Saccharomyces cerevisiae S288C: one gene and its partners. The gene in region 2 interacts genetically with the main gene of each other region. Each region holds a gene or a part of one and is shown on either strand. Other genes may lie near its edges.

Region 1 (3,287 bases), on a different chromosome or scaffold from region 2:
GTGTCCATGAAGCCGATATTTCCAAGCTTGCATCATTAAATTCATGATGGAAATAGTCAATCGCAGGCTTGTTGTAGTTGGTCATGTTATCCAGTAACATTATATTCTGGTACGAAATTATTGTATCGTCCAAACTAGTCATTTTCTGTATATGTATCTATTTGTGTGTGTATGAACACTTGTGTGTAGTATCTGAATGCGATAAGAGAAAGGGCCAAAGTTGAACTGAATGCAAAAAGTAAAACCTATAAAACCGTGTTGACCATACGCTTTCATATATATATATATATATGTTTGTTTTTGCTAAGACCCGGTAACTGTACTTTTTCTGCAGTCATCCAAGGGAAGACAAAAGAAGAAAGAAAAAACAAGATTAATGTCCCCAGGTTTTTTCTTTTCCTGGCGGAAAAAGCTCAAATCTAACATTTCCCCGCGGGGGTTTCTTTGTAAAGAGTATCGAGTCGGAAACGAAAAAAAAAAAAAGATGAGAAAATGAATTTTTCCGGTCGCCTAAAGATAGAGGTACCAGCGGAAAAAATGCAGCAAAAGCAAAATACCCCATTCAAGTTCCCCCTGTCTCGCCCCTCTCACGCTTCACTGTCCCCCGCTTTCGGTTTTTCCGGCTACGGCATTTCTGTTGAAAGTTGCCGGAAAAACCCCAAAAAGCATAAAAAAAAAGAGCGGGGGGAAGAAAAAAAGATTCCTTTCTATCTTTTCCTTCCCCGGCCTATTCGGGTACTCGCTTCCGGGTCCGCTGTCGTTTATAATGATTAGTGCAGAGAGCTTTCTTCTCTTAGTTTTTCATGTGGTAAAGGCAATGCCATTTAGAAGGATACTACGTGGGGTTCAAAACCGTGAATACGTTGTCTATCGTGTTATGTATGTTCTGAGTTTCTTTTTGTCATTCTACTAGTTTATGGACTGGGACTATGTATCTTGCAGTATGATTTCGTCAGGAAGCTTGTCATAGCAAGGCCTGAACAAATCGTACGTTAAAATAAAAATGAGCACCAATTCGAGTCACTGATGCCTACTGCTCAATCCAACCATCTAGTTCTGCAAAGATACTTACTCCGCATAATTAAAAAAATAAGGTATTTTAAAGTTGTGTAGTGACGAATGTAGTGACGCGGAAACGTTTTACTCGTCAATGGACATTTGCGAATGTGTCCGATAAATAGTTGAGGCTTTTCCTGCATTCTGTCAAGAAGGGTATGTGTATGAACATGCAAATGACACTGTAAAATGATTCATTACCCTGATTATGGAGTGATTTTCTTTCCTTTTTTTTTTTACATTTAGTTTCATTATTATGCAAATTAGAGGGTATACAGTTGAGATTTTAACACTTTGAATTAAAAAGTGTTACAGAGGAAACCGACGCAAAAGGCTTGGTGACGCAAACTTTTCCATCTTTATTTCACCTCTTCAGACGGTCCTAAGACCTTTTGAACGTATCAATATAGTTTTATCATCTGTTCTCTGTTGTTCTCCGTTACTAAGATATTAGTCAGCTCTTGAAATTTCACACCCCTATTTATTTGTCTTAGCGTCCAACCCCTCTCAACCCTTTTCCATTTCTTGTATAAAGGTAGTTAATTAGGTAACGCTGCTCTTACCATCACTACAGTGCTTACGAGAATTTACCCAAACCCTGCGCAAGATAAATAAGAAATGTCGAAACAGTGGGCGAGTGGTACAAACGGAGCTTTCAAAAGACAGGTTTCGTCCTTCAGAGAAACAATCTCTAAGCAACACCCAATTTATAAGCCAGCAAAGGGAAGATATTGGTTGTATGTTTCACTTGCATGCCCATGGGCCCATAGAACACTAATTACGAGGGCTTTGAAGGGATTAACCTCTGTTATAGGATGTAGCGTAGTCCATTGGCACCTTGACGAGAAAGGATGGAGATTTTTGGACATGGAAAAGCAATTGGAGGACAGTGAAGATTTTTTGGAACATTGGCACGATGTTGCAGGTGGTATTAGAACTGCTAAAGAGGATTCCAGCAAGAGCTTCGCCGAGATCAAGAATGACAGTCAAAGATTCATGGTTGATGCTACCAATGAGCCTCACTATGGATACAAGAGAATCAGTGACTTATATTACAAGAGCGATCCTCAATACTCGGCAAGGTTCACCGTCCCAGTCCTGTGGGACTTAGAAACCCAAACAATTGTTAACAACGAAAGTAGCGAAATTATAAGGATTTTGAACTCTAGTGCGTTCGATGAATTTGTCGACGACGATCACAAGAAAACGGACCTTGTTCCTGCTCAGTTGAAAACACAGATCGATGACTTCAATTCTTGGGTTTACGACAGCATCAACAATGGTGTATACAAGACCGGATTCGCAGAGAAAGCAGAAGTTTACGAAAGTGAAGTCAACAACGTATTTGAACATTTGGACAAAGTGGAGAAAATCCTGAGTGACAAATATTCCAAATTGAAGGCCAAATACGGTGAAGAAGATAGACAAAAAATCTTGGGTGAGTTCTTCACTGTGGGTGATCAATTAACAGAAGCTGACATTAGATTGTATACTACCGTCATAAGATTCGATCCTGTGTACGTCCAACATTTCAAATGCAATTTTACCTCTATTAGAGCCGGATATCCATTTATTCATTTGTGGGTAAGAAATTTATACTGGAATTATGATGCCTTCAGGTACACAACAGATTTTGACCATATCAAGTTACACTACACGCGTTCCCACACAAGGATCAACCCCTTGGGAATTACGCCCCTGGGACCCAAGCCAGATATTCGTCCTTTATAACAAGCTGTAATTAAATAATCAAATGTCTATAATCTCCCTGAGTTGCCTCTTTTTCTATACTCAATTGGGTAATTGACGCGAAACGCGTTAAAGTGCAAAAAAAGGCCTGGAAATTATATTTAACGCAATGAAATATTTTCATAATATGACATTCATGCACAGCTGTATTCATTCTTCTACTTTGTAGTTTGTTATTCTTCTTTATCGGTTTCGTTTTACAAAAGATTTTAGCAAGGAAGCAGTTTTTAAACCAATCAATGGTATACACAACACCGCAACAACAGCAGAGATTCAGCTCCACACCGCAATCTAGCCACACTCTTATCTTCTCGCCAATCAGAGCCCCTTCAATGCAAACGCCCTCCTCATTGGATTACCAATCACCTTCAATTGTTGTGTCATCGTCTTCAATGAAGGTTCACGGCCGGTCTTCCAGTTTCGGTAAATTTTCACTGTCTATTGGGCAAAATGGTAAGGCTACAATACTGGGGCCTATAAAC
Region 2 (3,759 bases):
GAATCTTTAGTCAGCAATGGAAGTTCACACAGTAGAGACACAAATTGTGTCACAGTATATCACCCATTTACTGTAAAAAGATAAAAAGACCAGTAAATGTAACGGAAAACCATTCATTTTAACGGAGCCGTGACGAGAGTGGCTGTGATCGGAATTCCACGTCAAGGTCCTGGAAGACGGGGATCGGGGACTAAAAAAGAGCGTCGAAAGTATCCAGTACGTCATTACCAAGTTGAAAATGAAAAAAGATCAATTAGCCACATTTTATCCTGGATTTATTATCTATTATATATCATTTTAAATGGTTTAGGCTCCCAGAGAAAAAAGCAAAACTCAGGTGAGGTATATGTACAAACTAAATAAAAGTTCTAAGGTCGATCGCTACCTCCGTATAGAAATTCCTAAAATCCCTAAGGAAAATTAACTCCCTCATAAGTAACATGAGGAATTCTTCCCACTAATGCTAAAATGTTCAATGAAGCTATTTTTCCAACATCATAACCTCTGGGAAACGCTTTTCTACGTATGATAGAAGTATGCGCCTACGTGCGTACAAAGCGGTAACCTCCACTCTTCTTTGACGATCGGCCCAATTATGTGCTTGCAACAAAACTAGCAAGAAAAATTCTTCGATAATCATAGTTGGCGTGTTAGCAATCAATTGACCTGTTGTACTCCAACGCAAACCGGAAGCAATACAAATTAAACCAATGATGATGATGACGGATACAAGAACACTCCATGGAGTTGAGCAGATCCTATTAATATATTGGGATGTTCTGTAACCAATAGTGTTAATTTCAGGAGCTTTACCACTAAATTCTTCGGGACATTCAATACCTAATTCTTGGAATAATTCAAGGTCTTCTTTAGCCACATCAGAATAATTTTTCTCTTCATGTTGAACGATTCGGAAGTACACTTCTCTCAAAACGAAACCGTCCAAAAACCCAATTAAACCTGTGTATGTACCGATAATCAACCACCAATTATCATCCCACTTCATTGGCGAACCAATACCAATCCATGTGGCGAACACTGCCACACCAATCAGGACACCAATACCAGTACCAATAATATCAGCATACCAATCAATCATCTTTCTCCCTGTCGACCTTTTTTTAGATTCAATAGTAACAACTGGGTGAGGTGTTTCAAAATCGTTAAAATGCTTTCTTATACGATAGTCGATTTTCTCGTCCATATCAAAGATATCAACTAAAAACCTCCCCGTGAAATAATCATGTCTAGCCCTTATATTTTGTAAGAAAGTAGTGCAAATTAGAAGGGAAACTGCAACTGCAGTGTTAATATACATCTGCCAAGCGTCACTGAACTTTTTCAATCTTGGATTACTACCTGTAGTTTCTCCGGTGTAAGGTGGAGTGTTGCCCGCATCTTTTGGGATAGCACCGCAACCAATCCAAACGAAAATACCTATCCAAAATATCACCATTGCTGCAATTGAACCCATATACCTACTTGCTACGTTAGATAAACGGTCGTACCAATTTTCCACAGGCAGTTCTCCGTTAATGGCAGATGGGTCTATATGATTTTCAACAGAGCTGACTTCATTAGCTTCAACTGTGCAGTCTGCTTTTTCTTCCTCTGGGGTGCTTCTTGTTAGATAGTTTTTGAAGGAAGCCAATCTCGACTTCAATCTACCGCAGATCAAAATTTGTTCATGCGTACTCATCAACTGTTGTCTCATCAACAGTGTGTCCCAAACATAACTTTGAATAGACTGTCCGTCCTGCATAACAACTTGCCAATTGAAAGGTGCGTTATAAACAATACCAATAACCACCCAAATTATGAGGATGATCCAAACAATAAAAAAAACCGCCTGCGAACCGGCCACTCGTACCAGGAAATCCAGGGTCTTATCTGTGAAACCTTTGCTTAACCCGGTAAAACCTTTACTCGTGAAGATTGCCCCTGTTTCTGTTAAATTCACATTACAAAGTTCGTCATCAGTACTCTCATCGCTATGGCTGACTACTCTGACCACATCATCATTTTTGTAATCGTTAGAATCACCGAATTCTTCGTACTGTTTGCAGTCAACAGTAGGTGCTCTATGATGAACGTCAGGCCTAGCACCTGGATTCCCGAGAAACTCTGCAATTTTACCCATAATTTGATTAACGAATGTTTAATAATAAGGGTCTTATTAGGTTTCTATATCTACCTTTTCCCTTCTTATATCTGATACTGTTTGACTTATGATAAAAGAAACTTACTTACCTATCAATTAATTCATGCCGTGTGAAGTATATTTATATAAACAAGTATTTCTAAATGAAGAGCATCGAATCAAGATGTGGTAGATGCTAAACTAATGGGTGCAATTAAGAAGGCTTCTACCAAGCAAGTTCAAGGCCAGTAGCATTATATAGTTTTTTTGTCTTTATTTTTTTTTTTGGTTTTTTTTTTTTTCGTTTGAGAAAAATGCTGCTTCCTAAAAAGACTCAGCAAAAATGCTCATGACCTAATCAGTTTCGAGAGCAACCCCACGGGTAGGAAAGAAAGAGGCGCCAACGTTAAAGGAAACTGCCCATATCTAATACATAACCGCACAAGCTCCAAGCTCATTCAACACCTGTGTGATTTACGCCCCAATAAGGCTCAAGATTCCTCAATATTTTGTCGTTGTTCGAGCCATGAAAACCTCAAATTACTGCTACAGGACCCTAGGGTCTCGCTAAAAAAATGACTACGCGCGCTTATATAATTACTCGAATAAGACAAAAGAAAAAAACCCTTGCGATATGTCGTAGACACGTAAAAATGGCCCATTTAGTGGTAGTCGCAAACTAGAGGGGTAAAAATAACCTGTCCAGTACTGAAAGTAATGCTAGGGAAATGCGAATGACCGTACGTACACCTTCGTACATGCAGGTATTTAGGGGGCTTATTGTTTATGAACAATAGCACTATGCCAGGTCAAACATATCATGTTCGCGCAGTCTCCTCGTGGGATATATAAAGTGAACAAAAAGTGCACCCGGTTTTCGGAACAACGCTCTTCGCAACAAGGCAAAAAAGAAAAATGGGACAACGTAATCGGAGAATACCCAAAGGACATTATAATCCAATCAACGTAGTAGTACGTATGGTTAGAACAGCAAGCACAGATATTTGCTCATATGCAAGGAAACTGGTGTGATTAGAATGCCTTAAACATGAGTCCAATGTATGCGAATAAGATGCTACGTTGAATAAGCAGATCAAAGAACTTTTGGTAGGAAAAGCTTCTTTTTTTAAAAGCGCACGTTTCTTTTTCTTTGTTGGACCTTCCATCAAAATCCTTAATACGTGCAGCGAAGCAGCAACGCATTGACAGTTCATACAGGAAAGAGGAACAAATATTTTGAGCTGCTTGTCCCAGGAATCTAGGTGCTTACGTATCTTTTATTTTATTTAAATGTATGATCTTACCCACGATAATGGTCTTAGTACTTTAGTTTGGCAATGATGGAACCGGAGGACAACGGACAAAAGTTAGGGTATCTTTACTCTGTCACTGCGTATTTTTTGAAATACACTATTTTTACAAGGAGTTAAGCATAACAAGCACGTGCTGCAGATGTTTTCATTTAGTGAGTGAAGATCTTTATTCAAGTAATTCATCTTCATCCGTATAACTTCTTAGTAAAGCGACAAGGTCTGATGGCCGAATTTTTTTAATTTTGGCCATCGTATTAAAATGAACACTCTAAAGCCGAAATGAGAAAGATCTCGCTAATAGTAGGT
Region 3 (3,759 bases), on a different chromosome or scaffold from region 2:
GTCCAAAACTGATCTACTGAAATGGTCCTGGTCATTTACGGGTTGCCAATTCTCGCTTTCTAGTGAAGATTTAATAACTTTTTGAACATTACGGCTCACATCATCACATAATCGAGTCAAATATTTGATGAAATAATTTTCAAGGTTAAAGAAAAATTTCCCTTTTGGCTTTACCTGCAGGTAAATCTGTCTCAGTTCTTTCAGTACATCATACATATCTAGCGCATCTATTGGACCCAACTTTTGTCCAGTCATTTTCATGGTACTCTTTTCAGCGGTTTTTATTAGATTTAAAGAATCCGAACCGTATACTTCACATAGAAATACTGCGCATTGTCTAGGCAGAGATATTTCGTCCAATAAAGGTTTATTGTAACGTTTTTGAATCGCTTTTATGGCTTCTATAATTGTTTCTACGAGATTCTGAACGTTTTGAATTTCTATTGCGTTAGCCTTTAGCATATCCTGCAGAAGGGAGACAAAATAATCCTCTGATGCTTTAAAAAGAGTCTTCTTAAATAATTTGATCCAGTATTTCTTTACAGCTACGGACTGCGTTTCATAGAATTCCATTACTGGATCCCCAACAATGTTTGAATAATAAAATGACAAAACTGGAGAAAATTTTGGCTTTGTACCTGAAAATATCGCAGTTAAAAGGTTATTTATTGTCCTCATAGACTGATCAGTCGTATGAAAAAGGTTTGCAGCCCATAAATAGCGATCCTGAGCATTCCAAGCGGATGGATCCAGATTATCCTCTGAACATAAATATTTATTGCGGATGACAGAAAACAAGTTTTCAGTTATTGGGATATTTAGCTCTTCATCTCCTAGAACACTTAAATTTGCTGCTGAATAAACCAACGAGGAGATGGTGGAAGGATATTCTATTCTCCAATACCTCGCTGATTTATGAAAGAAGAATAGAGCTTCTTGAGAAAGATTTATGGCATTTACAGCATTAGAACACTCTTTTTTTAAAACAAGGCCTATGAGACGGACAAATACGCTTTTTGCATCCTTGGGTATAAGACGGTTTCCGTGAGAGGTAACCTTTTCGCCTATCTCAAATCGATCCATTAAATTTGCAATTTCAAGAAGTTCATAATTCTTCCATAAATTGTATTCTCTGTCACTTGAAAAATCAGAAGCCGTCAAAGTACCGTTGTCTTTCTTGATTTTTTTCCTAAGATATCTTAGTTCACCGCAAAATATGGGATTTGTACAATCGTCCTTAACAGCCATTACGTCTTGGTGAAGCTTTGTTTCATCTGTTTCGAATAACTGCATAAAATACTTCATATGTGAAATATCTTGGACTTTGAAAGAGGGTTGCTTATTGCTAATCGTGCTCCCGGAAATGCTTCTATATTGAGGGACTGTGGCAGGTGAGGCGGCTCTTTTCTTCTTTACTGTTGTCTCGCCTTTTTTAAGATTAATCTTATAATCAAGCAGTCTCTTTATGATATTTGCACAACTATCTGGAAGTACATCAATTACTAGGTCTATAAAATAAGCAACTTCACTGAACAGCTCGTCACGAGAATTTTTAATAGTCATTTTCTTTAGTTCATTACTGGCAATATTTGTGAAATAACCGACCACCTCCTCCATTTGACCCATCTTGGAAAATGTATCTGCACTAGAAGAATCGAGCATGCTATAATACATCTTAACAATACTTTTCCAATGCATCTCATTCGGCGCCAAGTTTTTATTTCCTGAAATTTGTGCCAACTTCCCTTTTAATATACGTAAAGTTGCCTGTACTATATCGCGTTCCGACATATCGTCTTGTTTGTCAACCACTAGTTTCTTCCCATGTTGCGTTTGCTGATGATTCGTTTTGTCAGATAAAACCCTTGACGTTCCTGTCCTATTCGATAGCAAAGCTGCTTCTTTAAATCGCGGTTCGTTGATATAATCCAACAAAATTAGTTTTAAAGTGTAAAGATAGACATCTGATGTTGGTAATTCGGTATTAATGACGTTGCATATTGACGGTATTTCCACGGATACATCAGATACAGTAGATGATAATGTGGAGACTGTTCGATTCATAAGTTTCACACTAGCTGCAAAAGCCCTATAAAATGCCGGCTTATCCTCTTAATGATGTGAGAACGCTACTAATATTCAACTAGGAGCAGAGCTATTCGCCTTTCTATTTTCTACGTAGGTATATATATACAAATCTCTACATACTCATGTATCTTTTCACCCGGGAATGTTAACGTTACAAATTGTAGGCAGCTACCGAAAAAATAAGGCAAAAGGACTTTATAATAGAGAGGCCATTTTTCATTCCTATAGTGTTGCCTTAACAACACAAATTTCAACGCCTTGAAATTTTCATGATATCCTTGATTCAAATGCCCTTTGTATCTGATTGCTCGGAATCTGAAACGATGGGCTTTTCCTTTCTACGGACTTCTTGGATAAGAGGAGGACAGTCGCTTATTTTTTTAGGCTCTGTCATATGACTTGCCAAAATTTTGTGCATCTCAAACATATTGGTACTCTTGCCAAGTATTAATTCTAATTTTTCGTCGCACAGTATTTCTTTCTTGTTGTTAGGATTCTGCAGATTATGCGCTTTAATATATGCCCAGAGTCGTCGTACTACTTCGGTCCTCGTCAATTCATGCTCTCCTAGCAAACTCGCTAATGATTTAGATAGTGTAACTTTTCGTGTTGAAATAGGTGACTTACTAACAGTCCCTTTTTTCTTCTCAACATGAGTACCTTTGGTTTCGCTATCGTTCTTTTCCTCTCCAGATGATCGTTTGCTTACGGTAATTTCCTTGGTGAGCTCAATCGCCAAAGTAGCATTTTCCTTTAGCAGATCCTCAAGAGATCTTTCGAAGCGCGGCCTTTCTTTTACAAGATCTAGATGTTTCCTAATCAATTTGTTAATTGCTTTTCCCTGTGATTCAACGTCGATTGCATATACTTCTTTCAAAGCCATCCTAACCTTTTTAGTTGTGACCGTTTCCAAATCCATATCAGAGAGAAGAATATCGATCATCGTACTATAATCGTTTAATTCAGCCATGGCAACGCAAAGAAAGCTGTCAACGAACGCTTTAGTACTTGTTAAAATTTTCACCTATCTTATTCTGATCTCATCTTGGACTACTGCAAAAAAATGTATCAAAATATAGAACGGAATTTTGATGTTTTTCTAATTTACAATTATTTAAAAATATTATAGATGTAAGGATACGTAGATGTGAGGTTATGCTGTAGTTAAAAAAAAGGTTAGCGGATCGATTGGGGACGCAAGTAGGAAGCAACAACGTCTTTCACTATCATAAGGCATTCTTCATATTTCTCCTTTGTTGTTTTTCGTTCTTCTTGACTAAACGTTTTCTTTCTGCCCTATTCAAAGTTCTTGGATCGATCAATTCATTGTCAGTGCCTTTTACTTTATCATCAACTTCCACCAACCATTGATCATCTAACTTCTTATTTGCGCCCTTGTAGCCCCACTTTGGAACCCATTCACCGGATGCCTCATCATAAATCATCTTTCCTGCCCTTTCCTTTGGTTTAATACCCTTCTTAGCTGCAAACTTCTCCCATTTGGTCATAGCCTTAGCCTTTGGCAGTGGCTTTTCTCTTGGTAAGTCAGTGGTAGGGTCAGGAAGCTGCAACAAGGTCATCACGGAACTTTGACCGCCGGTGCCACCTACAGACTCCGTTGTTGTTTTCATAGGTAGTGATAATAGTTGATTGATTAGTAACTGAACATTA

What was found.
Region 1: mutations in FET4 (region 2) and ECM4 together harm fitness more than expected from each alone (negative genetic interaction), as found in Saccharomyces cerevisiae (one large-scale study listed by BioGRID).
Region 3: mutations in FET4 (region 2) and YOR296W together harm fitness more than expected from each alone (negative genetic interaction), as found in Saccharomyces cerevisiae (one large-scale study listed by BioGRID).

The regions. Positions count from the first base shown.
Region 1 is NC_001143.9:580,609-583,895, forward strand, and holds ECM4 (S-glutathionyl-(chloro)hydroquinone reductase), read left to right. Parts: upstream 1-1,674; coding exon 1,675-2,787; downstream 2,788-3,287. Other genes in the region: YKR075C (uncharacterized protein), read right to left, coding at 1-142; MSA2 (Msa2p), read left to right, coding at 3,045-3,287. UniProt on the Saccharomyces cerevisiae protein: Active as '1-Cys' thiol transferase against beta-hydroxyethyl disulfide (HED), as dehydroascorbate reductase and as dimethylarsinic acid reductase, while not active against the standard GST substrate 1-chloro-2,4-dinitrobenzene (CDNB).
Region 2 is NC_001145.3:912,399-916,157, forward strand, and holds FET4 (Fet4p), read right to left. Parts: upstream 2,141-3,759; coding exon 482-2,140; downstream 1-481. UniProt on the Saccharomyces cerevisiae protein: Required for Fe(2+) ion low affinity uptake.
Region 3 is NC_001147.6:868,507-872,265, reverse strand, and holds the start of YOR296W (uncharacterized protein), read right to left. Parts: upstream 2,065-3,759; coding exon 1-2,064. Other genes in the region: UAF30 (Uaf30p), read right to left, coding at 2,372-3,058; ribosome biogenesis protein RRS1, read right to left, coding at 3,315-3,759.